Arabidopsis thaliana: one gene and its partners. The protein of the gene in region 1 interacts with the protein of each later gene in a pairwise test. Each region holds a gene or a part of one and is shown in the gene's direction. Other genes may lie near its edges.

Evidence for each region.
Region 2: the proteins of CLA1 (region 1) and WIP3 interact in a two-hybrid assay, tested with the Arabidopsis thaliana proteins (one study listed by BioGRID).
Region 3: the proteins of CLA1 (region 1) and AR192 interact in a two-hybrid assay, tested with the Arabidopsis thaliana proteins (one study listed by BioGRID).
Region 4: the proteins of CLA1 (region 1) and AT1G09060 interact in a two-hybrid assay, tested with the Arabidopsis thaliana proteins (one study listed by BioGRID).

What each region holds. Positions count from the first base shown.
Region 1 is NC_003075.7:8,881,256-8,889,176, forward strand, and holds CLA1 (Deoxyxylulose-5-phosphate synthase), read left to right. Parts: upstream 1-2,569; 5' UTR 2,570-2,962; coding exon 2,963-3,112; intron 3,113-3,395; coding exon 3,396-3,521; intron 3,522-3,604; coding exon 3,605-3,920; intron 3,921-4,026; coding exon 4,027-4,298; intron 4,299-4,385; coding exon 4,386-4,659; intron 4,660-4,736; coding exon 4,737-5,044; intron 5,045-5,126; coding exon 5,127-5,408; intron 5,409-5,486; coding exon 5,487-5,771; intron 5,772-5,858; coding exon 5,859-5,999; 3' UTR 6,000-6,412; downstream 6,413-7,921. Other genes in the region: AT4G15562 (superoxide dismutase 1 copper chaperone-like protein), read right to left, coding at 7,191-7,420, 7,541-7,620, 7,701-7,744.
Region 2 is NC_003070.9:2,608,690-2,616,208, reverse strand, and holds WIP3 (WIP domain protein 3), read left to right. Parts: upstream 1-2,831; 5' UTR 2,832-3,028; coding exon 3,029-3,616; intron 3,617-5,103; coding exon 5,104-5,529; 3' UTR 5,530-6,213; downstream 6,214-7,519. Other genes in the region: NVL (no vein-like protein), read right to left, coding at 1-174, 354-691, 783-1,206, 1,305-1,435; AT1G08280 (Glycosyltransferase family 29 (sialyltransferase) family protein), read right to left, coding at 6,605-7,519. UniProt on the Arabidopsis thaliana protein: Probable transcriptional regulator.
Region 3 is NC_003075.7:13,483,895-13,489,765, reverse strand, and holds AR192 (Co-chaperone GrpE family protein), read left to right. Parts: upstream 1-2,907; 5' UTR 2,908-3,205; coding exon 3,206-3,349; intron 3,350-3,602; coding exon 3,603-4,046; intron 4,047-4,130; coding exon 4,131-4,298; intron 4,299-4,377; coding exon 4,378-4,506; intron 4,507-4,601; coding exon 4,602-4,700; 3' UTR 4,701-4,927; downstream 4,928-5,871. Other genes in the region: AT4G26790 (GDSL-like Lipase/Acylhydrolase superfamily protein), read right to left, coding at 617-810, 944-1,433, 1,536-1,907; AT4G26770 (Phosphatidate cytidylyltransferase family protein), read right to left, coding at 5,069-5,158, 5,226-5,309, 5,385-5,441, 5,525-5,653, 5,742-5,828. UniProt on the Arabidopsis thaliana protein: Essential component of the PAM complex, a complex required for the translocation of transit peptide-containing proteins from the inner membrane into the mitochondrial matrix in an ATP-dependent manner.
Region 4 is NC_003070.9:2,918,903-2,927,646, reverse strand, and holds AT1G09060 (JmjC domain protein JMJ24), read left to right. Parts: upstream 1-1,890; 5' UTR 1,891-1,959; intron 1,960-2,321; exon of another isoform or gene 2,322-2,382; 5' UTR 2,383-2,392; coding exon 2,393-2,998; intron 2,999-3,098; coding exon 3,099-3,241; intron 3,242-3,338; coding exon 3,339-3,438; intron 3,439-3,541; coding exon 3,542-3,674; intron 3,675-3,766; coding exon 3,767-3,821; intron 3,822-3,929; coding exon 3,930-4,575; intron 4,576-4,653; coding exon 4,654-4,983; intron 4,984-5,120; coding exon 5,121-5,492; intron 5,493-5,584; coding exon 5,585-5,654; intron 5,655-5,743; coding exon 5,744-5,829; intron 5,830-5,917; coding exon 5,918-6,037; intron 6,038-6,137; coding exon 6,138-6,208; intron 6,209-6,309; coding exon 6,310-6,412; 3' UTR 6,413-6,583; downstream 6,584-8,744. Other genes in the region: AT1G09050 (arginine-glutamic acid dipeptide repeat protein), read right to left, coding at 6,789-8,744. UniProt on the Arabidopsis thaliana protein: Binds histone H3 but seems to have lost demethylase activity probably due to its inability to bind iron Fe(2+).

The sequences.
Region 1 (7,921 bases):
CATGATATCTTTACAAAATAATTAGTTTCTTTATCTTGAACTTTGATGTAAATTGCAAATGATTCGAGATAAAATGAATTCTTGCCTAATTATCTTCGTGAGTTTAGAGAAATTTGTGATCAATTGAGCTCCATAGGTCCTACAGGCCCGACTTAACACATGTGTTAGGAGTGCTAGACGATATGGTCCAAAAAAAAATCTTTATTTAATTCATACAAAAAGTTCTACTTTTTTGAAAAACAAATAGCTACTAATTATGATTATATGTTTCTCATTTTTACATCCCTCGTTGTATAGCAGAAGCACAACATGCTGATTATTCTGGTACAAGTTAATAAAGCAAAGTTGTGTTGAAAAAAAAAAAAAAAACTACTTATATTTAAAAAATTAAAAATATTCTTAGTTATCTAAAAAAACAGAACCACTAATCAAGAAATATACCTTAAAATTCTAAATTTGGTTTAAAAAATAAATATGGAAATATCCAAGTTTCTTAAAAGTAACATTTCTATAATTAGAAACCACACTTCTTTAATAATAATCATAGGCCAATATTTTTTTTCCAATAACCCTTAATTTTTTTGGGTCCGCTCTAGCACCGGGTCTTGCCAATATTTGAGCCGAACCTCTTTCCAGAACACAACTTCTACTCGTAATTTTCATTATTCTTTCCATTGTGAAGATACAAATTTGTTGTGTTGGAAGATGTCAATGTGAACGGATATAATGGTAGGTTAATGAGAATGTTTTTTTATGGTAGTGTTCTAGAATCAGTAGAGAAGTCATATGAAGTAGATGATGATATACATGGTGAGATGAAGGGAAAACAGTTACCTTTTGGAATAGGGTTGAACCTCTCCAAAAAGTGAAGTTGATCACTGATAATACAAGGAAATGATAAAGAGGTGACATTCGAGTGATCAATGAACCTGTTTCCTCCTAAATGTTGTTAGTAACATGTTTGATTGTATGTTGTTAGAATGGTTTATCAGAGTGCATTCGCACAACTATCCAATCTCTCGAGATCTTCTCTATTCGTTTTGATATTTTGAACTTTTTGAAAACCTCTCAATCTATTGATAAGACAACTTTTTTATGAAAAAATCAAGTTTGAGAACTAGGTTTTGTGTTTATTGATCTAGTTTACTTAGTCATATTCACTAAGTCGTCAATATGGTATGCTTTCAACAATAACATAGTAATTTGAATGCCTCGTACATTTTAGGCGATTTTCTATTACAATGTTTTGGTAGAGAATACGTATTTGTATATTTATGATGTATACGTGCATATACATTAATTGTTTTGTCGGTTTATTATGATCAAACAATAGTTTGTCTGTCAGAAGATTCAAGAAATATCTTTGAATCTGAGAGTTTCCAAAAAACGTTATGATGAAAATTTGGCATATACGTATTTCTGACAAGCTGATAATATTGTCATCTTGCATTTCAAGCAGTTTCGACAAAATTTTATCCAACTGTTATATTCAAACTAATTGAAAATCGAAAAACCACCATTAAAAATTAGTTAAAAATAACATATCATTTTGAAAATGCAATATTTAAAAATTTAACATATCAATTTAACATGCTTGTTTTCTTAATAAGTTTTGATATATTATAAAATGAACCGCGTGATTACAATTTTTCTTTTTGTGATGGAACTGTCGTTAGTTAAACACTTAAACTTAAACTTTCATGTAAGTTTTGTTTATTCATATTTGACTCAATTGAAACCCAATAATCAAGAATGTCAAATATTATATGTTTTGTCGGATTTGTAACGTGATTCTCGCTCATTTAATAATGTGATAATATCATAAAATTTAATCTATGTAGTTGTTTAATATGATATTAAACTTTATTAATGTAATAAGATCGATAATACTAAGTTACTAACCCAAATCATACACTTACGAGTTACGACACTACCGCACTATCTTGGTTATATTAAATACTCCTTTTGTTTCTAATAGTTTGATGTTTATATCAACATTATTATTTACTTTCATTTGTTACCGATAGAAAGAGGAGAAAATTGTTGACAAAAACAAAGAAAAAAGTAAAATTAATATTATTAAATTAATAAAAATAACAAACTGTAAAAGCTATTTTTAAAAATTTTTCTTGTAAAACATCTAAAAATTATTCTTGTAGAAACAGAGGAATATCATTGAAGATAATAGTGTGAAATTATATATATATATAGAAATATATAAAGTAGGATTTTTTTCTGTATACAAATATACGTTTCCAATTTTATCAAAAACTGTAAAGATTTTTTTCTTTGTCAGTACCTGCTAAACTTGTTAATTTTTTTATTAAAAAAAAATCAAATTACAATTCTTCTATAATCATTTTAAATTCCATTTCTTTATACCACAAAAGATTATATTGCCTTTATCGTCTTTGGTATGTATGCGTGAATATATTTATTTATTTTCTTTTCTTTCATTTTCTTTTTAAAGAACTTTATAAATGAAATAAGGAACAAACAATATACACATGTACTAACGTATATAAATAATATCATCAATATCTATCCAAAACTTGGATTTCATGGTTGACGTGGCCCAACCAAAATCTCAAGTTCTCTGCGGATGACGAACCATCTCACCATCTCTTTTTTTCTCTCTCTTTTTTTTTTTTAATATCATCAGCACGGTTACATAAAATTCGTGATCCATGAAGTTGGCTTTCTTGTCGTTTTACTTCATCACCCCATTTTTTTAAAGTCTCCATCTTTATACTTCTTCAACTCTCCACCACCACCATTGTCACCACCACATTTAAACACACACTTTCACTTGTAGTGGGATTCGAAAGTGCGTTTTATTCATTTGTTTTACTGTTTTTGATAACCTCAAAATTTGCCTAAATTTTATTCTCTATAAATCCTTATATGTTTTACTTACATTCCTAAAGTTTTCAACTTTCTTGAGCTTCAAAAAGTACCTCCAATGGCTTCTTCTGCATTTGCTTTTCCTTCTTACATAATAACCAAAGGAGGACTTTCAACTGATTCTTGTAAATCAACTTCTTTGTCTTCTTCTAGATCTTTGGTTACAGATCTTCCATCACCATGTCTGAAACCCAACAACAATTCCCATGTAAGTTCACTTCTCTCTTCTCTGCTTCATCATGGAACTTGATTTAAGAACTATGAGATTTTGTAGCTTGCCCATTTGCTGAAATCTTGAATTAAATAATGGGTTTACTTTGTTTTTGACAAAAGTCAAACAAATTTGACTCCTTTTCTTAGTTACTTTATTGGAAATCTGTGGAAAATATAGTGAAATTAGACCAATAATATTGCTTCTTTGGTTCTGATTTCTGGGAACTGATTAGAGAAAATGACAGCTTTTGCGATTTGGGTTTTGTGTTGTGGTACAGTCAAACAGAAGAGCAAAAGTGTGTGCTTCACTTGCAGAGAAGGGTGAATATTATTCAAACAGACCACCAACTCCATTACTTGACACTATTAACTACCCAATCCACATGAAAAATCTTTCTGTCAAGGTAAAGATTCTAGCTTTGATGCATTTGTTTTAGCTTTCTTACAAATTGATGGATTGGTGGCATTTGGTAACAACTTATTGCAGGAACTGAAACAACTTTCTGATGAGCTGAGATCAGACGTGATCTTTAATGTGTCGAAAACCGGTGGACATTTGGGGTCAAGTCTTGGTGTTGTGGAGCTTACTGTGGCTCTTCATTACATTTTCAATACTCCACAAGACAAGATTCTTTGGGATGTTGGTCATCAGTCTTATCCTCATAAGATTCTTACTGGGAGAAGAGGAAAGATGCCTACAATGAGGCAAACCAATGGTCTCTCTGGTTTCACCAAACGAGGAGAGAGTGAACATGATTGCTTTGGTACTGGACACAGCTCAACCACAATATCTGCTGGTTTAGGTAATACAATCAATCATTCCTTTGGTGTGTTTGCCTTGTGTTGTTGTGTTTAGACAGTAAACTGTAATAAGAAAACAGAACTGAATCAGATATATGAGTTTTACAGGAATGGCGGTAGGAAGGGATTTGAAGGGGAAGAACAACAATGTGGTTGCTGTGATTGGTGATGGTGCGATGACGGCAGGACAGGCTTATGAAGCCATGAACAACGCCGGATATCTAGACTCTGATATGATTGTGATTCTTAATGACAACAAGCAAGTCTCATTACCTACAGCTACTTTGGATGGACCAAGTCCACCTGTTGGTGCATTGAGCAGTGCTCTTAGTCGGTTACAGTCTAACCCGGCTCTCAGAGAGTTGAGAGAAGTCGCAAAGGCAAGTTTATTGCATTTCTTTTCTAGAATGGTAAAGAATACTGGTCTTTATGGACTTGATGAGAATTTTGGCTTTTCTTGCGTATAGGGTATGACAAAGCAAATAGGCGGACCAATGCATCAGTTGGCGGCTAAGGTAGATGAGTATGCTCGAGGAATGATAAGCGGGACTGGATCGTCACTGTTTGAAGAACTCGGTCTTTACTATATTGGTCCAGTTGATGGGCACAACATAGATGATTTGGTAGCCATTCTTAAAGAAGTTAAGAGTACCAGAACCACAGGACCTGTACTTATTCATGTGGTGACGGAGAAAGGTCGTGGTTATCCTTACGCGGAGAGAGCTGATGACAAATACCATGGTAAAACAAGTTAGATAGATAACGTTTTCTCTAGTTCCTAAGCAGTGGGATATATATATTGATTATTTTTCTTTCAGGTGTTGTGAAATTTGATCCAGCAACGGGTAGACAGTTCAAAACTACTAATAAGACTCAATCTTACACAACTTACTTTGCGGAGGCATTAGTCGCAGAAGCAGAGGTAGACAAAGATGTGGTTGCGATTCATGCAGCCATGGGAGGTGGAACCGGGTTAAATCTCTTTCAACGTCGCTTCCCAACAAGATGTTTCGATGTAGGAATAGCGGAACAACACGCAGTTACTTTTGCTGCGGGTTTAGCCTGTGAAGGCCTTAAACCCTTCTGTGCAATCTATTCGTCTTTCATGCAGCGTGCTTATGACCAGGCAAGTTCAACATCTTAATCATTTTACTTTGTAATAAAACATTTTAAGAAACTAATAGAGTATATGGTGGCCTTCTCTGTAGGTTGTCCATGATGTTGATTTGCAAAAATTACCGGTGAGATTTGCAATGGATAGAGCTGGACTCGTTGGAGCTGATGGTCCGACACATTGTGGAGCTTTCGATGTGACATTTATGGCTTGTCTTCCTAACATGATAGTGATGGCTCCATCAGATGAAGCAGATCTCTTTAACATGGTTGCAACTGCTGTTGCGATTGATGATCGTCCTTCTTGTTTCCGTTACCCTAGAGGTAACGGTATTGGAGTTGCATTACCTCCCGGAAACAAAGGTGTTCCAATTGAGGTATAACTTTGGTCCTCTCAAATATGTCTCTCTTCCTTCATCATTTTGAGATAGAAAATCTCTTTGGGTGTATTTCAGATTGGGAAAGGTAGAATTTTAAAGGAAGGAGAGAGAGTTGCGTTGTTGGGTTATGGCTCAGCAGTTCAGAGCTGTTTAGGAGCGGCTGTAATGCTCGAAGAACGCGGATTAAACGTAACTGTAGCGGATGCACGGTTTTGCAAGCCATTGGACCGTGCTCTCATTCGCAGCTTAGCTAAGTCGCACGAGGTTCTGATCACGGTTGAAGAAGGTTCCATTGGAGGTTTTGGCTCGCACGTTGTTCAGTTTCTTGCTCTCGATGGTCTTCTTGATGGCAAACTCAAGGTTACTTATTACTTCCAGAAACTCTCTAATATTTTTCTGTCTTTTCAAAAAATACTGTTTCTAATTTGCAACTGTTTGAATATACAGTGGAGACCAATGGTACTGCCTGATCGATACATTGATCACGGTGCACCAGCTGATCAACTAGCTGAAGCTGGACTCATGCCATCTCACATCGCAGCAACCGCACTTAACTTAATCGGTGCACCAAGGGAAGCTCTGTTTTGAGAGTAAGAATCTGTTGGCTAAAACATATGTATACAAACACTCTAAATGCAACCCAAGGTTTCTTCTAAGTACTGATCAGAATTCCCGCCGAGAAGTCCTTTGGCAACAGCTATATATATTTACTAAGATTGTGAAGAGAAAGGCAAAGGCAAAGGTTGTGCAAAGATTAGTATTATGATAAAACTGGTATTTGTTTTGTAATTTTGTTTAGGATTGTGATGGAGATCGTGTTGTACAATAATCTAACATCTTGTAAAAATCAATTACATCTCTTTGTGTATCTTTCATAGCTTTGTGTGACATATTTTGGTACGAGCAGTGTTTTTAAACCTGGACCTATATATATGGCCTCATTGACTGACGATCGAACGTACCAATGCAGTGACCCGAACCACTTTCCGGTTTACATTCCAATCCGGTTTTACAAGATTGGATACAAGTATTTTTTTTTTCAAAATATCCCCAAAGAGCCTAAAGGCATTGAAAGACTCTATCTACAGAAGAGAGTTCTCTTGTTAAGAAAATATTAGACAATAATAGAGTATCTTCATTATGTTCTTATAATCTTATCTAATAATTACTCTCACTAAATAAGATGATTATGATTATAGTTTGCTTTCATAAAGATGAATGTATTCAGTTTTACTTATTAAGTATACTTTACTTGGGAATTTATCTATACCTAATAAATATAAAATAGTGTAATCATAATTAAATTGAATAAAAAAATGAAAAGAAAAGATATAGTATCTTAATTATGTTTATATCTAATATACTTCCTCTTTCACTAAAAAGATGATTTTAGGATTTATTTTTTTTGGTTCATAAAGATGAATGTAATCAATTTTATATATAAATTTATCTTCACCAATTAAATATACTATAATGTAAATCTTAAATAAATTGATCAATTTAATCTATAGATTAAAGTTAGAATGGATGAGAAAATTAGTTTATTAAAAATATGTGAATAGTTTAAAACACACAACTAAAAAACAAAGTGAACACATAATAATTTTGCAAACTACAAAATGGGGAGAAATGTGAAGATATTAGTTCATGCAATCCTTTTTTTTTTTTTTTTTTTCTTTCTAGAATCTCTCCACCTCCAAAGAAATGATTTGAATTTAAAATGATATGAAACTTAATGCTAAAAACCTGTAAAACGATCACCATTTAACAAACTACACTTTACGAAATAGTACATCTGTTGGCATTTTCATCATTCAACATCATAATTTTCGCCATTTCAGTTTCTTCTTGTTTCTTCCGAATTAATTCATCTTTCTCTTCATTTTTCCCATCATGAATCTCCAATTCTTTAATAACTTTCATGATTTTTTTCAACAACTTCTCCTTATTAAAACTTCCAGAGACCTTAATCTTTTGGTTCTCTTTATCCGGCACACATAATGTAACTCCTAATAATCATACAAAACAAATTACAACATGCATGCACATATATATATATATATATATATATCCCTTCATATTACTATCAATTATATACATTTAAACTATGATTATAGATATTATTCTACCTTTGAATTTGGATATAGTATGAGTCATAGCTCTCTCGCATATGCTACACTCCGGCATCTTGAATTCGACATGCGAAAAACTAGATCACATATAGAAGAAAAGCTAGTGAGTTACTAAGAGAATTTCATTAACATGTGTAAAAATATATATTACACTTACTCCTTAGGAGTATCTGGTTGGTTAAGCGAAATGGAACAACCCATCTTTTAAAATTTGAGCTATCAAAGAAATAAAATAAGATGGACCAATTTATGAACAGCCTATAACACTTTATATACTCATACATTCAAACAAATTACTCATACATAGAAAACTTATAATATATTTTTAACATATACACAAGACAGACAATATTTTTTTGAAACAGTGAAAAAAAGAAA
Region 2 (7,519 bases), on another chromosome or scaffold:
TCATTTTCCTCCGAGCTCGGTGAATTAAATCTTGTATGCTTGCCACAATAATCCTTATCTTGCCGTTGTTTCTTTGATGAGAGGATGCGATACTTCTGATGCAGTTCAGTCAATACGATCTTCAATATTTCGCCTTCTTGTCTCTTCGCATCTTGAATGAAAGATACATACATCCTATAAAATGCATTAAACAAATAAAATCAGCTAATGCGAACATATACAACCAACTAATACAATAATCTAGTGATTCCTTAAAAACCAGATTCATTCACTTGTAACCAAACTTCAATTCAACATCCAAAAAAATCAAAAGATCTTAACAACGCACAGAAAAACTATCAAACTGATCATACCGCAAGTTCTGAATACGGACACCAAGCTTTTCCTTGCTTGTAACTGCTTTAGCCTCAGCAACAAAATCCAGGAATTCATCGAGCTTAACATCGTCAATATCGTAAGTGTTTAGATAGCTATCAAGTAATGATATTATCTCCTCACTAGTGATCTTAACTGGGGCAGTAGAACAATAGACGGATGGAAAATAGAGCAAGACAAGTGGATGCTGCAGCAAAGGTCCCAATCCCAGATCATCAAAACAACCAACAAACTCGTTTTGGCATATTGCCACTTCCAAATCATGCAATGTCACGATTCCTCTAGCGCCAATGAAGCAGTGAATAAATGCAATGATCTACAAGATTCAAAGGTTTTAAGTAAAAGGAATCAACTTTGCAATAGATAGGCTCTGTTTCATTTGCAATATAGAAAATTTTAAGCTTTACCTTGCCTTCAAGGGCCATGAGTTGGCGAAGCGAAGGAACATCTTGCATCCATATCCCCAAGGAACGCCAAGTGTCAGCCTGAAGTTGTGCTAAAACCGATTGCGAAACTCTAGTCGAAGATACGTTGTCTCCAGCAGCAATTAATGATTTACGCGTATTGTTTACGGCCTTATCAATTCGAATAAGTTCTACATTAGCGCCGCCGCCAAATTGTGGATGAGGGAAATTGAGATTCTGCTGCGTCTGGAAATTGTATCTGATGGGTTGTTGTTGTTTGACAATGTAATTGTGAAATACAGGAGTCGTTTGAGGAAGATACCCTCCGTTTCCATTGCCGCTTCCACCGTACGCGGAGGCGCGTAGTGACCACGAGCCGTCGCGATTCCCTTGCATTGGTCGGCGCAAAAACGAGGAAAATAAAAAGCTATCGGAGAAGTAAAGAGGGAAGGGTTTTAACTTTTAATAGAAGGGCTGGTGTCTCTCTAGCTCATTCGGAGGGTTAGGGTTTAAGGTGAAACGTACCGTTTTTGATTTAGCATCTGTAAATATATAATTTTCATAATATTGTAATTGATAGATGAAAATATAATTTGGATGTCTAAAAGTAATTTTTTGAATATACAGTCATTGTATCGGTCAACAAAAGGAAACATTTTTTTTCTTTAATTATACCAAAATGAAGTTTAATTACAAAAAGAAAAATTTAATTTGAATTGTAGTACTATTGTATTGGTGAGTTGTTCAAACCCGGTTTCACAAAATATGACCAGATATGTATATACCGTGTTTGAACCGCATGGGACGTAAACCATAATTCTTTAGTGAATGAAAGCATAGTAGCATACGGTTCAACGGTTAGCTATACTACCATTCGGAAATTTTGCGCGGTTAATATTGTTTTAGGGTCCACCACAACATGACACATACATTGAATCAGCTTCTATTTTCGTCTTAAAATGAATACTCACTCTTCTTAGGTTTTTCTTTCAAGTATTTTATTCTTCAGGTATTGACTTACTTGCGGTAACCTTTTTGTTTTCTAAGAAAAATCTTGTGCTTAATGGGTCAAAACTCCACTACCTCTTTGTATTCAAAATCTTACAACGTCCTAAAACCTCGTCTATAACACAAAAATTAACGTAAATTCATTACAGTTTTTGGGTCAACGTACTCCTTCGTGTAGGTCATCTCATCTGCTTGTTGTGCTCCATTCCAGTCTTTCTAACGCTACCGTGAGGATGGGAATGTCTAATGCGACTGCTTTTTGGATTAATGTTAAGCTTTATTACTTCTGAATGAATATAGCTTCGACAGATTTAAAACGGGAATGAAATACAACCAAAGTAGTTTCACACTTTTTGGATTCAGTTTTCTATAGTACCATTTGCAAACATATACGTGTGTGGGCTGCCATATCAACTATAGACCCGTGAACCCAATCATGCATCAAAGAATATCAGTGAACTCATTTCCAAAGCTAATAAATATTTTCATATATCTTTAAATAAAGTGCAAATCATGGATTAGAGTACTAGCTAGAAAAGTCTTGCGTATGAAAAACAGTGTATGTATCATCAATATCGTGTAATCTGCTACTTGGATCATCCAACGTCAATAAAAGTGAACGCGTGATTTTATAACAATTTACCTTTTTTTATCATTTGTCCCTAAAAAGACGGCTAAAATGATGTTGGAATTGTTGTTTTGATATGTAATGATGAATTTTGTCTTCGCCGGTCTATATGCACTTAAATGACAATCATGACTATAATATGATGAAAGGATATCGTATTTGTTGGTTTAAGATGTTACAAAATTTTAATAATGGGAAAGGAAATGAGGGTAAAGAAGAAAAAAAAAAAGACTATGATTCTTAGGATTCTCTTTCATTGAAAAGCCTTGCGCTTGTGCGTTTCCTTTTCACTATGTGAAGTAAGACCCACCACATTTTTGTGAAGAAAATTTCACTCTTTTCCTCTTGATGTAAACGCGTAGACAGACACGTGCGACATTTCTGCACTATACGTTTTGGGGGGTAGGAGGAAAAGAAAACAAAACTTTAAAGAAGAAGATTTTGTATTGGAGAAAAATAAAGAGAGAACCTATTTTGACGAACGGCTACGATACACACCAGGTAGGTTGATATTAATATATAAACTTTTCATACTACTAGTCTTACCCTTCTTCGTGTGGAGGTAGAGAGAGAGAGAGAGAGGGAGAGTGAAAGAGAGGAGAGAAAGCGAGAGATGAATTCTTATGAGACGAAAGGCTTAAGTTTCGAATCCCCAAGCTTTATTGAATGGCTTAAACCTCAATCTTCTACTACTTCTTCTAAATCTGTGTTATATCGTGGGAAGACAAGAGATGCTATATCAAGATCAAATCACCACCAGAGTCAGATGAACATGTTGGAACGATCTCTATTCTTGTACCAACCACAAGAACCACTCAACACGTCTATTCAATGCTTGCCTCTTCTAAACAAGCTCATGGAAAATAATAGTCAAGCCTCGGATATCAAAGAAGAGAATAAGGATGATGTGGTTACCCTCCAAATCGGATTTCCTAAATACCACCGTGGTAGCTCGGAGGATGGCTCTGATATAACTTTCGATCATCAGAAGAAACCCATCAAGAGAGAGATAATAGAAGATGGTGTGGTGATGATGAAGAAGAGGAGGAAGATGAAGTTTGATGAGGAGATAATTGATTCTGATGTGGAAGTATGTGGGAAGAGGTTTTGGATACCAAGTCCGGCTCAGATTCATGTCGGTCCAATGCAATTTGCTTGCTCTATTTGCAGCAAAACATTCAATAGGTACAATAACATGCAGGTACGTCTTCTCTCTAAATATCATCTTTTTCCTATATGATTTGTTAGATAATCTACATATCAGCTACAAATCTTGCATTATGTGTTAACCATTCTTACTATATGTCAATGTATTATTTACCAAGAAAAAGAAACATTAGCACTATATCAACTTTACCTTTGCCATTATCATAGGGTATTAATTCATTTATGGTTATTTACTTATTTTCCCATATAAGCTAGCAAAAAACAAAAAACGGTCGATAAATTCATTTTGTTTTTGAAGAATAACATTTTCCCCTCAAAGGGAAACTTATCATATCGCAGCAAACAAAACTTTATATATATCTTAATTATTCAACAACACATTAATAACAAAATAATTAACAACATATTTTAAACAAAAAGAAGTATATTATTATTATGTATTCCGTAATGTATTGTACTTTGTGTATAAATGTTTAAAAACAGTTAAATAATTGTTTATATAATTGTATGATCATACATTACCATGTAAATTAATTCCTTCTATTGATCATACACTTCTTTTTGTGAGAATTTTGCTGCATATGTATATGATGATCTTACATTCTACAAAATATATTATCGTATATATACATACATGCATAATGTTGGAAGGAAATTAGTTTTTGTCATTTAAAGATGTTGAACATTGATGACTTAGTTATTACGATAATTAATTGCGGTTGGTGTATCATTCGCAATAGATAAATTAAGAGAAGGATGAATGGGTATATAACTTCTGGATTAGTTGAGAAATCTTCGAAAAACTTTTTGACTTTTTTTCATTGTTTGCCTTGCCTTTTGGTTGAAAAGCCAAAAAGCAAAAGAATAATCACGGAGTGGGATTTGGTAAAGTATAATTCAGCAAAAACCCAAAAAGGGGGAGAAAATTTAAAAAGCAATGATCATACTACTTTTACTGAATATATGCAATCGATTACTTAACCTAATGAAGATCTTAGTAATTAAAAAGCCTTCTAATTAAGTATCATTGGTTTCTAAGTTTATATATTTTACATAGGATTCTCTCCTTTACCATTTACTATAAATTTTCTTTCGTCCCAACTTTAGTTCGAAATTAAAATCATTATCCCAATACCACTTGTTAATTAAGTAGAAAACACATTTTTCTTACATCATATATGGTTTCTTATTGAAATTGTGATTACCATATACGTGGTCAAGAGTTTCGTCAAGTCCTTTTATATCCATTCCATTCCCTATTCCTACAGTGATAAATATATGCACAATTTTATACATTTGTGTATTATTGATAAGTCTCCTAAATGCAAATGCACTCCTGAGTCTTGACTAGAACAAGCATTCGAGTACTATTTAGAAACATAATGGGACAAGAAATTTCTGTCCTACAGATCATATATAATTGTCTATTAGGTACCATACAATATCAATATGTTAAATTGATAATATTCAAAATAAAATAGAGTTCTTATGGTCTAATGAATTTATATATGCAAAACACAGATGCATATGTGGGGACATGGATCTGAGTTCAGAAAAGGGGCTGACTCGTTGAAAGGCACAATCCAACCGGCAGCCATCCTGCGGCTGCCATGCTATTGCTGTGCCGAGGGATGCAAGAACAACATCAACCATCCGCGGTCCAAGCCCCTGAAAGATTTCCGTACACTTCAGACACATTACAAACGTAAGCATGGCTCCAAGCCCTTTTCTTGCGGAAAATGTGGCAAAGCCTTGGCTGTGAAAGGCGACTGGAGGACCCATGAGAAAAACTGCGGAAAGCTTTGGTATTGTACATGTGGATCAGATTTCAAGCATAAGAGGTCTCTCAAGGACCACATTAGGTCCTTTGGCAGTGGACATTCTCCTCACCCGTCTCTTTTGTTTGACGGTTTTGAGGAGGATACAGAATGCGTCACCACAGAGTGAGAATGTTGTTAGATACACCGGGGAGACTGTGGAAGGTAAGATCCTAATTTTCTAATGTTGCTTCAAACTGTGCGCCACAAAACATCTCAAGTCTACCAAAGAATTTCTATCTTGAAAAGGTAGAAATTCTTTGTTAGACTCGAAATCAAAATATATAAAGTTACCACATAAAATGAAGCAACATTTTAAAATTTAGATCTTTTTCCTTTGGATACGGTTACGATTAAGTCTACATGAAACCCGGTGTCATCTGTCTGTTTTTATTTTATTTTGCTTTAGTTTGAGACATAGATTTGAGTATTTGTGTGTTACGTAATATGCATGTGATATTAGGGTTCTTGGTTTGGTAGGGGATTTTTGCTACTAAATAAGTAACCTTAAGAAAAAAAGGAGGTTTAATTATGCTCACTAACAAAAACTTCTCTTTGTCCGAGGGATGTATTTGTCGGAGAGCATTTTGTGGCTCGAGTAAACCCCTATTTATCTTAGTGATTAGTAGTAAGTATGATTTCAATCTTAATTAGGGTTTTCTTCTTAATAAAGATGGTTTCTCTCTTTAAAATTTTGTGAAGCACGTGAATTTTCTGTTTCTCTCATGTATTTGTATTAGAAGAGAAAATTGGTGTGCTTCACTTCATTATTGTACGATAATCCTCAATTAAAGACTCTTCCTATTATATTGTCTCTCTTTTCATTACATATAATAGCTTTCGATCTTCTTGTTGTTACAAGGATTCACGCTTTTGTGTTTTGCATGAATAAACGTACTACTCAAACGTATTAAACTTGCGTGTGGGATTAACTTTTTCGATCGACACGTCAATCTGAATGATTTTGGTTTATATTGATGTGAGAATATCGTCCAAATATACCATATATATATTTCAATATGTGTGACAACACAAATCTAAAAATTGTAAAGAGTACTCTTACCATTGGGAAAGTGTTGCATCTTCACTGCCCAATCTGAAGCAAAATCTTTGGGACTTGGACAAAACGACACTCTTGCCAACAAGCTTCTTCGCTTGAACAACAATAACTACATGACAAAACTCTTGATGGTATATATGTATATTCAATGGTAAACTTGTACCAAAGGGATCTTGAATTCTTTTGGTAAGAATGGAATGGCCCTGGGACTGTTTTCCAGGTCTCGATACAATCTATACTCTGCTTCATAGTCATGAAGCTTCAGCTCTGCTTTCTGATTAGTATGGTAATGGTGCTTGGTTGAATTCAACTTCCCAAACCCGAAGACACTAACTTTCTCACAAATCCCCACTGCAAGCATCACAGCCTGCATACCCGACGAATAGTGAAACAACGAGCCTTCATGATCTTTACTCCAATCGACAAACCCTTTCGCTTTCTTCTCTTCCAAGAACTTCTTCACCGAGTAATACTTCACGATTCTAGCACACATGACATCGAACCTCGGATCCGTGATAAGCAGAGGAGCTCGATGAGATGGTTTACACAAAGTGTAATCCAAAACATGAATCGGTTGGCAAATGTACATCACAATAGGCACTGTTTCACCATAAGGATGACAATAGCAACTCTCCCTTCTCCCACATTGATGCAAAATGTTACTATTTATGAAAGATATATTTGTTTTCGATCCAACCTTCTTCTCAAACCTCTCTGTTTTCGCATTGTTCAACCGAATCACAATCTCATGCTTATCAATGAGATCTCCGTATTGACTATTTAGCAATGTACCACTATTCCCAACCACTGCACAAGATAAGTATCTTTCACTCGAAATCGAAACAACACCATTGTGAACATCAATCGGATTCTTAACTAATCTGATCAAATCTAACATGATATTAGGTTCATAAGCTCTTCTACGAGCCCAAAGCCGTAAATTTCTTTTGAACTCTGACCAGTAACGATAAGCCTGAGAAGAACGAAGCGTTACCGGAAACTTGGAGGAGGAAGCAATGTCTCTACTCACACGGCGTTGTTGCTCGCTTGGTCTTATTGA
Region 3 (5,871 bases), 4.6 Mb from region 1:
CGGTTTAGAAACAATCGAGCCTTTTTAGGTTTTTGGTTTACAATAATCGAAAACCGTACAAAATTAATAACCAAACGCTTAAAACGGTTCGACGAAACCGAACCGGATTGCACAATTTCGATTCGATCCTCCTTTTCTCTAATGGCATCCTCTTGTCTCGTCCGGAAAGGATTTGTCGAAAATGTCGCATTTGTTATTCTCTCACTGTGATCCCAATTGATTTCTTCTTCATCTTCTTTTATGAACCTGGCTTTCGCATCTTCTTAGCTCTGGGCCATTCCTCCGGTGATTTTGGTGAGCAAAATGGTTGATTTAGTTGTCACGCTGAGTCACAAATGTCAGCTTTTTTGGTTTCTGGCTTCATGATTCACTTCCATTTCTGTTTTAGTATTTTAAAGTTTGATCTTGTCCATTTTTATAACATCACAGTAGCATCTTTATGTAGTCACACGAACATAGAGTAAGAAGAATGGTTCTTGTACAACATTTTGGAAGCTTGATTTGAGTGATATCTAGACAAGAAACTCACAGAAAAAAATATATATGTTGTGGAGGAAAGAATTTAGTAGGTTAACTAATAACTATAGTGCTTGTGGTGTAGCAATTTCTTATTTTATCACTGAAACCGAGATAAGTCGTATTTCAGAACATGATTTGCTACGATGGCGTTTGTCTTCTCTGTTGGGTGAAATGAGTCCCAAAATACATATTTGCTTGCATCCGAACATGTGAATGGGTTCATTTTATCACACAAGTAGCTCATCTCATAGTATCCCGTTCCGCAACACGCACTTCTTACGTTTTCGAAACCTGCAATGCACATAGGAATATTATCATAAGAATTCTTGATTTAAGAGCATTTGGTACATATTGAAACTTAGCCCTATGTCTTTGCAGGGTTGCAATGGTTGGGAAAATATTTTTGTTAGAACTTTGTACTAACCGAATGCTTCAGGATGGTATATGATTTCTGAAACAAGGTCATATGGATTTGAAAACACCAGCTGGATTCCGTTCAGATCTCTGTTCAACTGGAAGACTTTCTCTTCCATCTTGATGTTGAAATCTCTAGCCACAATGTTGTATTCTTCAATACATTTGCTTCCATAAAAGAGCTGAGTTGTTCTTTCCAGGGGTAAGCATCCAAAAGGAGAGAGTCCCGACAAAGACATCTTCCGAGCTCCGAGTCTGTATATATCTGTCACGAAATCTGCTGCTATTCCTATCAGGAAATATTGGTACTCGTTCACTGAGTACTTCCGTAACTTGCGGGGAAGAAGATAGTAATTCTCCAGGAAATCGTTGGTTCCGATACTAATCAGGTAAAGTGATTCACTAATAATCTCATTAGCTTTCTCTTCACCCAAGTAGCTTCTTAGCCTGGTTTGGTATTCTTTGTAGTATTCCACTTCCTTCCATAGCGGCATTACAGACTTTAGAAATCGATGACAATTCAGAGAAAGCATGTCAGAAATCTAAGTCCAGTACAGTAGAATATATATATGTTGTAAGATATATAACTATGCTTGACTTACTAACACGGCAGAGGTTGCATTGTCTAAGCCGGTTCCAGCTGAAGCGAAACAGACACCAGTGGCAAAGTCTGCAATGTTGTATGCTGGATCTAGGTAGGCAGGGACTGCGTTCTTGAGTCCCAAACCTTCAGAAATGAAGTCTGGTGCAATCCGGCCATTTGAAAATCTCCCAGTCGCTTTGCCGTCAAAGTAATCCCGGCCATATGGCTGGAAATTGCTCTTCAGAACAGTAGAAATCTGGTTGTTGTTGCCTGAATCAACAGTTGAGTCACCAAATACGATAAGTGCGGGAAATTTTGCACACGTTTCAGGTATCTTCACCAAGAGCTGAGCTGCTAGCAACAAGAACGCAAGAACTCTGTTTCGCTGCATGCTTTTTACACAAGTTTTTTCAATTTTTTGCTTCTGCAAAACAAGAACCTCACGATTAATTGGGAAGAACAATTGGAGCAAGCATTTAAGATGGAGAAAGATAGGTATCTTCTATCAAACCTGACTAAAACAGATTTAGCTCGTGTAGTTAATACCTTGGCCTGTTGTTAGATGATGCTTATTAAATACTCCTTAGTCTGATATGTCTCTGTTTATTTTTGGCCACAGAGAGTTAGTTGAGGTGAGTAATGAGCTGAAAATGATTGAGAGTTTCAATAATAGTTGTGCAGCAGAGAGCCGTATTTATAGCTACTAAAAAAGAGAGAAAGACAGAATATTTTAAAATAGAAGGATTCGTACCATTGCAAGCTTCAGATGTATATGTAACGCATCTTCCTTTTTACCGGATTCACGCTCAAAACTCAACTCTCTGTTCTTGTATCACTTACTGTTTTTATTGCTTACTGAGTCTAGAGTCTTGAATGTAAAGATTATTTGCACTTTGGGTGAACTGTGTCGCACGTTTTGGGGCTTTTTAGTTCAACCATAGTTTTGGTTGTTGCAACGACAATAACAAGTAACGGCAAGAAAGTGTCTCTCATGCGTCAAATGTGACATTTCCGATAAAGTAACTTTGTTTTTTGAGTCTCAACTAAAGATTTATAAATTTATTGACAAGTGGTTCATAACATAGGTTTGCGTTTTGAATTAACTAGAGGCTATTAGCAATTAAGTGGTCATTTATCGTTTGTTGAATTATAGATTAAGTAGTTGAACATTAATTTCCAAATTCTCCCATCCAAATGACGTCAAATCTACACAACCTCTATATTAATCCAGCAATTTTAATTAAACACAAGAATGAAACTAAAAAAGCCAAACCACTTAGCAACAGTAACATACTGCTGCTTGTTCTGTTTGGTAGGACTGTACCAATCAGGCCCAGGAGATAAATGGACTTCGTCTGTCCCAAAGATATACAAGTACCTTTGGTTCTTTCTAGAGGCTTCTCAAATTAGCTTTCAAAATCTCCCATTTGCTATAATGACAATAATACCCTCACAGGCTCGCCGAATCAAAGCGATCATTTTAGCCTCAGCCCGCTCGTGCAGCGGTAAGGCTATTTACGTAAATTACTAAAAACCCCGAAAGAGAGAATTGTGAATTCTACTATCCATCCACCAAGCACTCTGTGTGCCTCTGCAAATTAACAATTTCCTCAGAACAATTACATTTCGATTCGATTCGATTCTCTTATCTTCTTGATCTCTGTTTGTTCATCTGTGGTGGATCTCCAGATGTTGGTTTTGAGAATTTTGTCGCGAGTAACCCGCAACGCGGGCATACGCTCATCTCTATCCGCCGTCACTCTTCCGGCGAGGAATCAGACTCCTGTTTTCTCGAGCCGGTTTCACTCCCTAGCTCACGATTTCTCGCATAAGGTTCGATTTTCACTCAAATTAATCACTATTCATGCCGAAATTGCAATTCAGGGTTTTGTTAGGGTTTAAGGCTTTCCCTCATTTGAGTTTCTAGAAATGATTGCTATCTTCTGATACTGTTTCCTTGATCTCTTATGTTTGAATCTTCAGATATATGAATAAACAATAGAAGAATGGTTTAGATTCTCTATAGGTTTTTGCTCTGTATCATTTCACTGAGTTTAACCCATTTTACTTTTTTTTTTGGGGGCAGCTTGTTCCAGCTCAGATGTCTATGATGGATTCGTTTGCACTGCAAAGGTTCAATTTTTCTTCCTCTACCTCGCCTGAATCAGATGAGAAGAAGACCCACACTGAGGCCTCAAAGACAAGTGAAGAGAAACCTACAGCTGAGGCAAACCAACCAGGTCTTGACTCTGAATCTAAAGATTCTGTGACAGATTCTGCAAAAAGAAAGCGGAAAGGTGCTAAAGGAGCTGCATCTTCATCTTCTGAATCAGATTCTGAGAGTGATGATGATGAATTGTCAGCCGATGATTTGGTGAAGCTCGTAGCTGAGAAGGAAGAGCTACTGTCTGAGAAGGAAGAAGAGATTAAGCAGTTGAAAGACAAAGTTCTTCGCACTTATGCTGAGATGGAGAATGTCATGGACAGAACAAGACGTGATGCTGAAAACACCAAAAAGTATGCCGTACAGGTTAGTCTTTAAGAACTTGGTTTGCAGCTTTTGTTTCATATAATAGTTTTCTGAAATATATATATTCACTATATATGTATGCAGAATTTTGCAAAGAGCCTATTGGATGTGGCGGATAATCTTGGAAGAGCTTCTTCGGTTGTCAAAGAAAGCTTCTCAAAGCTTGACACCTCAGAAGATTCTGCTGGAGCAGCTCCACTATTAAAGACCCTTTTAGAAGGAGTGGAGATGACTGAGAAACAGCTTGCTGAGGTAAATATCGAGAAATGTAATTATAAGACCTTAAGTAAGCAATGCAGATGAGACCGGTTAAACATGTGTGCCGCTGCAGGTATTTAAGAAATTTGGTATGGAGAAGTATGATCCTATAAACGAGCCATTTGATCCAAACAGACATAACGCAGTGTTCCAAGTCCCTGATGCTTCTAAGCCAGAAGGCACAGTTGCTCATGTCTTGAAGGTAAATATATAAAGCTTGCTCAATTCTTTGTCTCTTTATTTCATATTGTATAGTCTTAAATACCAATTAGTAATGATGGGTGTCAATATGTGCAGTCTGGATACACGCTGTATGACCGAGTTATAAGACCAGCTGAGGTTGGTGTTACCCAGGGAGGAGAGAACCAAGAAGAAAAGAAAGAGTCTGATGCTTAAGAAGAAGTCAGCTGGTTTTCATAAATTTTGTTACGGTTCTATGTTTCCATTAACATCTTCTCGAGTCTTCGAGTCATAGTTTTCTTTTGTGGTTTGGTTATTCATTAGATGAACAAGATCTCCCATAAGTTGCTGGACATGGCATTTGCAGGGGAAATCCTGCTTCTGTGTCTGTTTTCTCTATCTCCATGCTATAATTGAACGAGGAAAATATCATTTTACATCTCTTCTACTCGCACACTATTACCAAGTCTCTGTTTGATTAGTTAAATCAGATACAAATCAAGGTTTTACATGGTCTGATACAACCAGAAACTAACCATAGAGAAAGAAGCTGAAAACAGAGTCACAAAACTTGCACTCACTATTTAAAACCTCCCTTGCAACTTATGTTGAAGAATGTCTCCGAGCTTTTCATAAAGCATTTTCTGCTCCTCGTGTCCCAGGCTCCTCGATATCTGCAGGTATAATACAATCAATTATTTACAATGCCTCCGTATTCTTGGCTTATATGATGATTCTTACCTGGTCTAGGATCATCTCGACACTGTAGTCCCGATTAACAATGAAAGATTGGATGTAGATGTATGCGAAAACCGCCATAACCATCTGCATTTAGGCAACAAGATTCGTTTAAAACGATGCAAAGATCATATTGCACTTTTCGACGTTAGTGACTCTTACTTGGCAATCCATTCTGTCAGTAAATCCTCCATGTCCTGGTATGCTGTCTCCGAAATCCTGTCAAAGCGACATAAACTAGTAAATATTTGTTCTTGGATCTGTAGATACAAAACCTTTTAATGTTTGAAAAATGTGTTAACCTTGATCTTGAAAGCTCTTTTGAAACCGCTTGCGAAGAAGCCACCAAAAGGCGCCATAATGGATGCGAATAGACCGAGAGAAAAAGCATGCCATTGGACAGGCAGGGTCGAGATCCCTTTCCATGGAGACTGTTAAGCAAAGTTCACAACGGAGCTCAGTTTCAAAACAAGACAACATCATCGGCTGGTTTTCACGAGAGGACAGTTAATTGCTTACAAATGGAGTAATCCAAGAGGGAAATGGGTAATACTCTGGCCTGAAGAGAGGGCCTGGATCACAATGAAGCCAACCAGTTGATAAATCCTGCAAAAGATATGCAACACAAGGATGAAGTAAAGGCCGAGAC
Region 4 (8,744 bases), on another chromosome or scaffold:
TTTAAGGAACAAAGAGTTTTTTTTTTACACACGGGAGGGACACGCACGAGATTTTTTTTGTTAAGGACGCGGTTTCTTTAAATGCAAATAGCTTTTTTCCTTCTAATATTAGTTTCTTCTTATCTGAAGTTTAATTATCTTGCTGTTTTTAGTAAATTATTATTTGACCATGGTTCAAATAATAAACTCATGTGTATCTAAGAGTTTAGTGATAATGGCAATGTAAACGTTCAAAGATATGGAAATTATAAACGTTTTAAAGAATGTCTCAAATGATAAGACCATGATCAATTCGGTGTTCTCCGTAAGCCTGGTTACTTGACAACGTAATCAGGTACGTAAAATAGGACAAAGACACGCCGGAGAGTTAGACTTATTATTGTTTGATGTTGATATCATGATATGTAGTAATCATATCGCATTTTACTCTGCTAGGATTGGATATGATCAACATCACTAACATATTCGAAAAAGAATATCAAGTGGACGAGTACGAATTCTACAACTTTACCATTCGAAAGTTTACCGTAAACTCTAAATGAAAATGTTTTAATAAATTTACATTGAATTACAGTTTAACAAAACCAACTAATGGTGGTATATATGATGGTAATTAGTTGAAGATTAGTTGTCTTCGGAAAAAAGTTACTAACTTAAAACTTGGAACCATGCATGTATTGCGATAATGAATGAGCATATAAGGTGGAATCTTTTGAAATGTAGAATAATCTCAAGCATCTTTCTTGGTTTCTTCTTCAGTAGTCAAGAGCAATACGCGTGGAATAACCCATACGTTTTCTATTTTTGCTTATTCTCGAAGGCGATTGGTTCTCATTTTCTCGATCGAATCATCCTTTTAATTCAACGATAGCCTCACGTCGCGTGGTCCTGACGCACTATCCATATTCTTTGCCACTTTATTCTCCTTCACGGAACATTTAAGTTAAACGCAAATATACACGTTAGTCCATATATTGGAGGAGACCATATTCACAAATTTTGATATATAACACAAAAAAAGTTTACCTGATTTTTCTTCTAGTACTTGATCTCATCACTCAACTACTTGCAAGTCTTGAAACTAATCATCAACTCACCATTCAGAATTTGTTTAGCAAAAAAATCACTCAATGATAACTAAAAACCCAACAAACATACACGATCATATTTCAAACGACACCATTGCCAATGACTTAAAAGTTTTTGACCAATGAAAATTTTAGCGTTGAGTATTTTGAATCACGTTCAGTTGCTCATCGTTATTTTCAGTAACTACAAAATGAACACAATTTAATCGTTAGTCGCTGAAAATTAGAAAACGAATATGACATAGTCATTAATGTTAATTACCATTAGCAAATACGAAATGAACATAATTTACATTAGAACCAAATAATTCTTTCTATGAAACTATCCGAAATCCAAATTCCGGATGCATTACAAGTCAACAGGTTTAGAATCAAATTACTGTAAAACAACCTTATCAAGGACTTTTTTTTTTGTGTTTCATCAATTGGTAAGTTTACTTTAATAAAATTGCAATATTAATATATTTATATATAATTCTTTGACAACATATCAAAATATTTTAAATTTGAAATTTGTATACATATTTCCCTTAACTTTTGTTTGTTTATATCCATATTTGGTAACTGTACAATGGGGATCCACTTTTGAATCAAAAAACACCACACTGAAACAAAAATAAAGAAAAGAAGAAAAACAAGTGAACCCATATCCATGTTCTGTCTGAATCCGAGTTTACTTCTTCTTAGTTACAGAGGAGGAAAAAAGGAAAACCTAAGCGGAAAGGGAATATCCAAAAAAAAAAAAAAAAAAAAAAGACAGAAGTATAAGAAAAGTATCCTGAACATGATAGGTCTCTCTCCCATCTATAACCTCTGCAATTTCTCTCGACCAAAACCCTAATTTCAGGTTTGGGGTTTTCCTTCTTTCACTGTAAGTACGAGCAATTATTTTCATATATATATGTACCTATATATATATACACACTTATATACTTGTTGATGAGCCTCTCGAATTCCCCAATCTTAAACACTCTTCTTCAATTCTACGTTCGATTTTAGCGATTTCGGAGTTCTCTTCTTCTGTCTTCGAATTTGTACGCACTTATTAGTTCTATACATATATCGATCGATATAGCATGTGTTTCTAGAGCTCTTAGGTTCAGTGATTGATCATGTGTGTGTGTGTGTTCGTTGAATTGGGGGATTTAACGGGTTTTGCTTACAAATATTGGATTTTGGGATTGTAATTTGGTTGATCTCTCTCTCAAATTCGAGCAGGAGTGTATAAGCTACCAATTTAGTTTTCTTTCCCTTTAGTGAGTGCTCAATTTCTGATTTTAGTTTGAAAATCTAGTGTTTTGACAATGCAGGTCAATTTTGATGAAACTTGTGATTCAGTGATTAGAATGAATGCTAATGAGCAAACTCGATCCGCCAATGGCATTGGCAATGGCAATGGTGAGTCTATTCCCGGGATTCCAGATGACTTACGGTGCAAGAGATCGGATGGTAAACAGTGGAGATGCACTGCAATGTCCATGGCTGATAAGACTGTTTGTGAGAAGCACTACATCCAAGCAAAGAAGCGGGCGGCTAATTCTGCTTTCAGGGCGAACCAGAAGAAAGCGAAAAGGCGATCATCGTTAGGCGAAACAGATACGTATTCGGAAGGGAAGATGGATGATTTCGAGTTACCAGTCACCAGCATTGACCACTATAATAACGGTCTTGCCTCTGCTTCCAAGAGTAATGGTAGACTAGAGAAGAGACATAATAAAAGCCTGATGCGGTACTCGCCCGAGACACCGATGATGAGGAGTTTCTCTCCACGTGTTGCAGTGGATTTGAATGATGACTTGGGTAGAGATGTTGTAATGTTTGAAGAGGGCTACAGATCTTATAGGACACCACCATCTGTTGCTGTTATGGATCCGACACGAAACAGATCACACCAAAGCACCAGTCCTATGGTAAGTTTCTTGTTTCTCATTGGTTAGACAAAGAACTTGTACACCCATATGTGTTTGTTTGCTTATAAGGATTAAAAGTAACTGGTTTTCTGTGTTGTAGGAATACTCAGCAGCAAGCACAGATGTGTCTGCAGAGTCTTTGGGGGAAATCTGCCATCAATGCCAGAGAAAAGATAGAGAGAGAATCATTTCTTGCCTCAAATGCAATCAAAGAGCCTTCTGCCACAATTGTCTATCGGCAAGGTGTGCTTTCTTTTCTTTTCATTCTGTTTATATCAGAATTCTATAAACCTTTGGTAGAAAGAGTTCGCGGTACTAATGATGTCTCATGCATTTTAAGGTACTCGGAGATATCACTTGAAGAAGTCGAGAAAGTTTGCCCTGCATGTCGTGGCTTGTGTGATTGCAAATCTTGCCTGCGTTCAGATAATACAATAAAGGTGTGGTCTCGTGTTATCATAAAGATTCAAACCAGTGCTACCTATTTTGGGGTTTGAAATTTAGGACCATGAGATGATTATGACTCTTTGTGAAAAATTGCAGGTTCGGATCCGGGAAATACCCGTTTTGGACAAGTTGCAGTATCTTTATCGTCTATTATCAGCTGTCCTACCAGTCATAAAGCAGATCCATCTTGAACAATGTATGGAAGTTGAACTAGAGAAGAGGCTTCGTGGTGAGACGAGTTTTTGTTTACAGTGACTATTGATGAATTATATATACTCGTAACATTTTTTGCGGTTAACACTAGTTTGTTCTACTCTATAGAAGTTGAGATTGATCTTGTCAGGGCAAGATTGAAAGCAGATGAGCAGATGTGCTGGTACTTGTGATCTATCTTACATGCCTTTCTTCTTTTGACTTAGTACTGCAACTATTTCTTGTTGGCACTTTGTATTATCGTACATGACTGAAGTTTTGTTTCTTGCAGCAACGTGTGTCGGATACCAGTTGTTGACTACTACCGTCACTGTCCGAACTGCTCATATGACCTTTGCCTGAGATGCTGTCAAGATCTACGGGAAGAGTCTTCAGTGACGATTAGTGGGACTAACCAAAACGTACAAGATAGAAAAGGAGCTCCCAAACTAAAACTAAACTTTTCATACAAGTTTCCTGAGTGGGAAGCCAACGGTGATGGGAGCATCCCTTGCCCTCCTAAGGAGTATGGAGGCTGCGGTTCACATTCTTTGAATCTTGCCCGCATTTTCAAGATGAATTGGGTTGCAAAGCTTGTGAAAAATGCTGAGGAGATTGTTAGTGGCTGCAAATTATCTGATCTTCTGAACCCTGATATGTGTGATTCAAGATTCTGCAAATTTGCTGAGAGAGAAGAGAGCGGTGACAACTACGTGTACAGCCCGTCGCTTGAAACGATTAAAACTGATGGAGTAGCTAAGTTTGAGCAACAATGGGCAGAGGGTCGGCTTGTTACTGTGAAAATGGTACTTGATGACTCATCTTGCTCTAGATGGGATCCTGAGACTATTTGGAGGGATATAGACGAGCTTTCGGACGAGAAACTGAGAGAACATGATCCATTCTTGAAGGCCATTAATTGCTTGGATGGTTTAGAGGTACATTTCTTCTTATCTTCTTATCTTCTTCATATTGTGAAGTCACAGATTCAGTAATGTTCATAACTTGATTCACAGGTTGATGTAAGACTTGGGGAGTTTACAAGAGCATATAAAGATGGAAAGAACCAAGAGACAGGTCTTCCGCTATTGTGGAAGTTAAAGGACTGGCCGAGCCCAAGTGCTTCCGAGGAGTTCATTTTCTACCAAAGACCTGAGTTTATCAGAAGTTTTCCGTTTCTCGAGTACATTCATCCCCGGTTAGGCCTTCTGAATGTTGCAGCCAAGTTACCTCATTACTCGCTCCAAAACGATTCAGGTCCAAAGATTTATGTGTCTTGTGGGACGTACCAAGAAATCAGTGCTGGCGATTCATTGACTGGTATTCACTACAACATGCGTGACATGGTACATTACTCAGCTCTTGGATTATAAGTGATCACATTTGTCTTATTTTGGTTGATAAGGGAAACTGGTTATATGTTAGGTCAACTGAGATTATTGTTAAAATATATAATGATTGAGTCGTTGAAACTGTTAATCAGGTATACCTATTGGTGCACACGTCTGAAGAAACAACATTCGAAAGGGTGAGAAAAACAAAACCTGTTCCAGAGGAACCTGACCAGAAGATGAGCGAAAATGAGTCACTTCTTAGCCCTGAGCAGAAATTAAGGGACGGAGAGTTACATGATCTATCACTTGGTGAAGCCAGTATGGAGAAGAATGAACCTGAGTTGGCGTTGACTGTGAATCCAGAGAACTTAACGGAAAACGGTGACAACATGGAATCTTCTTGCACATCTTCATGTGCAGGAGGAGCCCAGTGGGATGTCTTTCGACGCCAAGACGTCCCAAAGTTGTCCGGGTATTTGCAGAGAACATTCCAGAAGCCTGATAATATCCAGACTGATTTTGTAAGCCGTACCTGCTAATTCAAATAAATGAAGTGTGTAAAGTCTTGTATGTGGAATGATTGAGTTTCCTAGTTTGTTTACTCTGGTTTCAGGTGTCACGCCCGTTGTATGAAGGATTGTTCTTAAATGAACACCACAAGAGACAACTAAGAGACGAGTTTGGTAGGAAAAACAAACATTCTATTCCCTATTCTATTTCCAAACACTTAATCGCTTGGAAACCTGAGGGATGACTCTTGCTATTGTTTCAGGAGTTGAGCCATGGACATTTGAGCAACATCGTGGTGAGGCTATCTTCATTCCGGCTGGATGTCCGTTCCAAATCACTAATCTTCAGGTAAATTTATTTCGTTGCAACATTATTCCATTAAGTTTCTTTTCCCTTGAGCTAAACTAAACTTTTTTCCCATGTATACAATTCTCAGTCGAATATTCAGGTGGCACTTGACTTCTTGTGCCCTGAAAGCGTTGGAGAGTCAGCAAGACTAGCTGAAGAAATCCGGTGTTTACCAAACGACCACGAGGCAAAACTTCAGATTCTAGAGGTAACAAATCTTTGATTCTGCCTTCCCTTAGAACAAACCATTAACCATCTCAGTGCCTTCACTTCTAACTCTTGGAAATGGTTTGGGTTCTTAACATCAGATTGGAAAGATATCATTATACGCAGCTAGCTCAGCCATTAAAGAGGTTCAGAAACTGGTCTTGGATCCAAAGTAAGTAAAAAAGTATTGACACCAAAGCTAATATAAAGAGTATGAAGTGAATTTGAACTGACAATTTTTGAAATTTGGTTCCTTCGTTATGGCTGCAAAAGGTTTGGAGCAGAGCTTGGATTTGAAGACTCTAACTTAACCAAAGCAGTCTCTCACAACTTAGACGAGGCAACCAAGCGGCCGCAGCAAAACAGCTGCACTTAAATCAGTCAAGATTTGTATAGTAGTATAAAAATCATTGTTGTGACTTTAGTTTAGACGACTACTACTACTATTCAGGATTTGTAATGTATCTATGACTGTGTATATCATGCTTCATATAGTATATTCATAACCATCATTATTCCACATAATTTTTTCTACTACTAGACCATATGAAAGTTACTTCAACGAACTCCTAAGCAAACCAATAATAGAAACATTACTTCTGTCTAATAATGGAAGTAATAAGAATAACAAAGGAATAAAACCCTTTGTGTTAATATCGCTCTTCTGTACACACTTATTCTTCAGCATACAGCCAGGCCAATCTTCTCACATCCCGCGATCAAAACTTTCAGACTTAAGTCCGTTGAGCTCCTTAGCCACGCCTGAATGGAAGCTTCAATACAATCGGTGGAAGTTTACGGTATTCAGTTAGAACCGGCCTTGACTCCTGTACTTGATCCAGAGCCTTACTCTCAGTTCTTGCTTCATTGAGAAGATAGCTAGGCTTTGAATCCTCTATTTGATCCAAGGGCTTACTTGTTGGTGATTTCTTTGTAAAACTGCTTCTATCTTCTCCTCTGTGCTCCAAGTCTGCACTCCCATTTCTGTTACATGCTTTAGCTGAGCGCTTTTTCTTCGTTGAACTTTCATGTTTTCTCGGTTCTGGTTTAGTTGTGCTTTTCATTCTCTTGGTTATAAGAAAGTCGGATTCCAGAGCTTCCAGAGCCCGAGTGGTCAATGGTCGCTTTCTTGTGCTCTGTCTTCTAGGACCATCTGTCTTAATTTGTTGGTTGTGTTGTTGTTCAGATGAACCCATTTCTTGAGAAGTTCCCAGATCATTGGAAGGAGATCTATTGTTTGAGCCTGAAATGGAAGGAAGCTCAAATACTTGTTTTTGTTCCAGATCACTGGAAGCTCGTTTTTTGTCCAACTCTGACACTGAACAGATCCCATTTGTTTTTGGTTCTGCCGAAATGAGTTCATGGGCAGTTCTTATTTTCTCTGGTGAACAGTTCTTGTCGACACCAGTGTTGGAATTTAATCCGCTTGGTTCAATCGCTGTCGTTTCTTGAATCTCAACAAGCGAAGAAGATAGCCCAGTTCCAGTCTTTTTTGATTGATCAGACTTTAAGTTCATATGCTCAACCAACGGCACAATCTCTTTGTCCTGATTCATCTCTTCACAAGTGCTAGTTTGTTGTTGGACCACACATATACTTTGCTGCTCTGATTCAAGACAAATAGTCATTTTTGTGTCATTATCACCTGGTAAATGTTTGGACACTGGACTCTCTCTGGAAATGCAAGCACTGAGCCGTCTGCGTTTCAAATATGGTGCAGAATCTACAGCATAATAATTAGTTTCTGCTCGAGGGGTAGACCGAGGCTTAATAACCCTCTTTGATGGATCCTTAGCCTTCTCTAAAGTCTTCTCTTCCTTTATACCAGAATCAGCCCCTACATGACCCCTTCTTGTGTCATCACTTGGTAAACATCTCCATCTCCTAAACCCAGATAATTTTTCGCAGTGGTCCACACTCGTATCAACAATCGTGAACCGCATTGGGTCATCCACATGGTTCTTGGCATCCAGAGGCCTCACTTGAGACTTTTCCACATTCTGACTGTCCAGAGAATTTTTAAGCACAGAAGAATCTTTAGCTTCTAGACGAGCCTTTGGCTCAGAAACTACTAAACACTCTGCATTCAGATTCCGTAAATCACACAACTTTCCTCCAGTAGCCAAACTAGTGTCCACAACAGTGAATTTCATTCCCAGAGTTCCACGGTTAGAACATGGAGACCTGAGGTAACGGTGTCTTAGACTATCAGACGGGGAAGACTCTTCATCTGACTGGTCAGAAGGATTCTCTGCAGCCACTCCTCCTGTTTCATTCTCAAGAAGTTCAGGCTCTGACACAACCTTTGTTAGAATATCACTGACGGAATCAAAGTAATGATCTCCTTTGACAAGCTCTTGTCTTGAAAACTTTTTCACGCCAGGGACAATGAAAACAATGTAGTCCTTAGATTTGAAATAGCCTCGGTCCTCGGGCTGCTGTGAACGCCATCCTCTGGCTAGCAAACGCGGCCATACAGCGCCCCAGAATATATCATTGCAACGGGCTTTGCTCAGACGAGAACAGCCAGTTAACTGATTTATTATGCCAGCCGATGTGAGGGAATTGTAATCCCCTTCTCCAGGGACCAAAGAAGATTTTGAAGAAACAGTGAACCATGGTTTGGTCTTCATTGGGGTTGATGTAGGAACCGTGAGATCTTCTTTTTCTTTACCAATCGCCACAGCGTCTACCAGAAGCCTGAGACC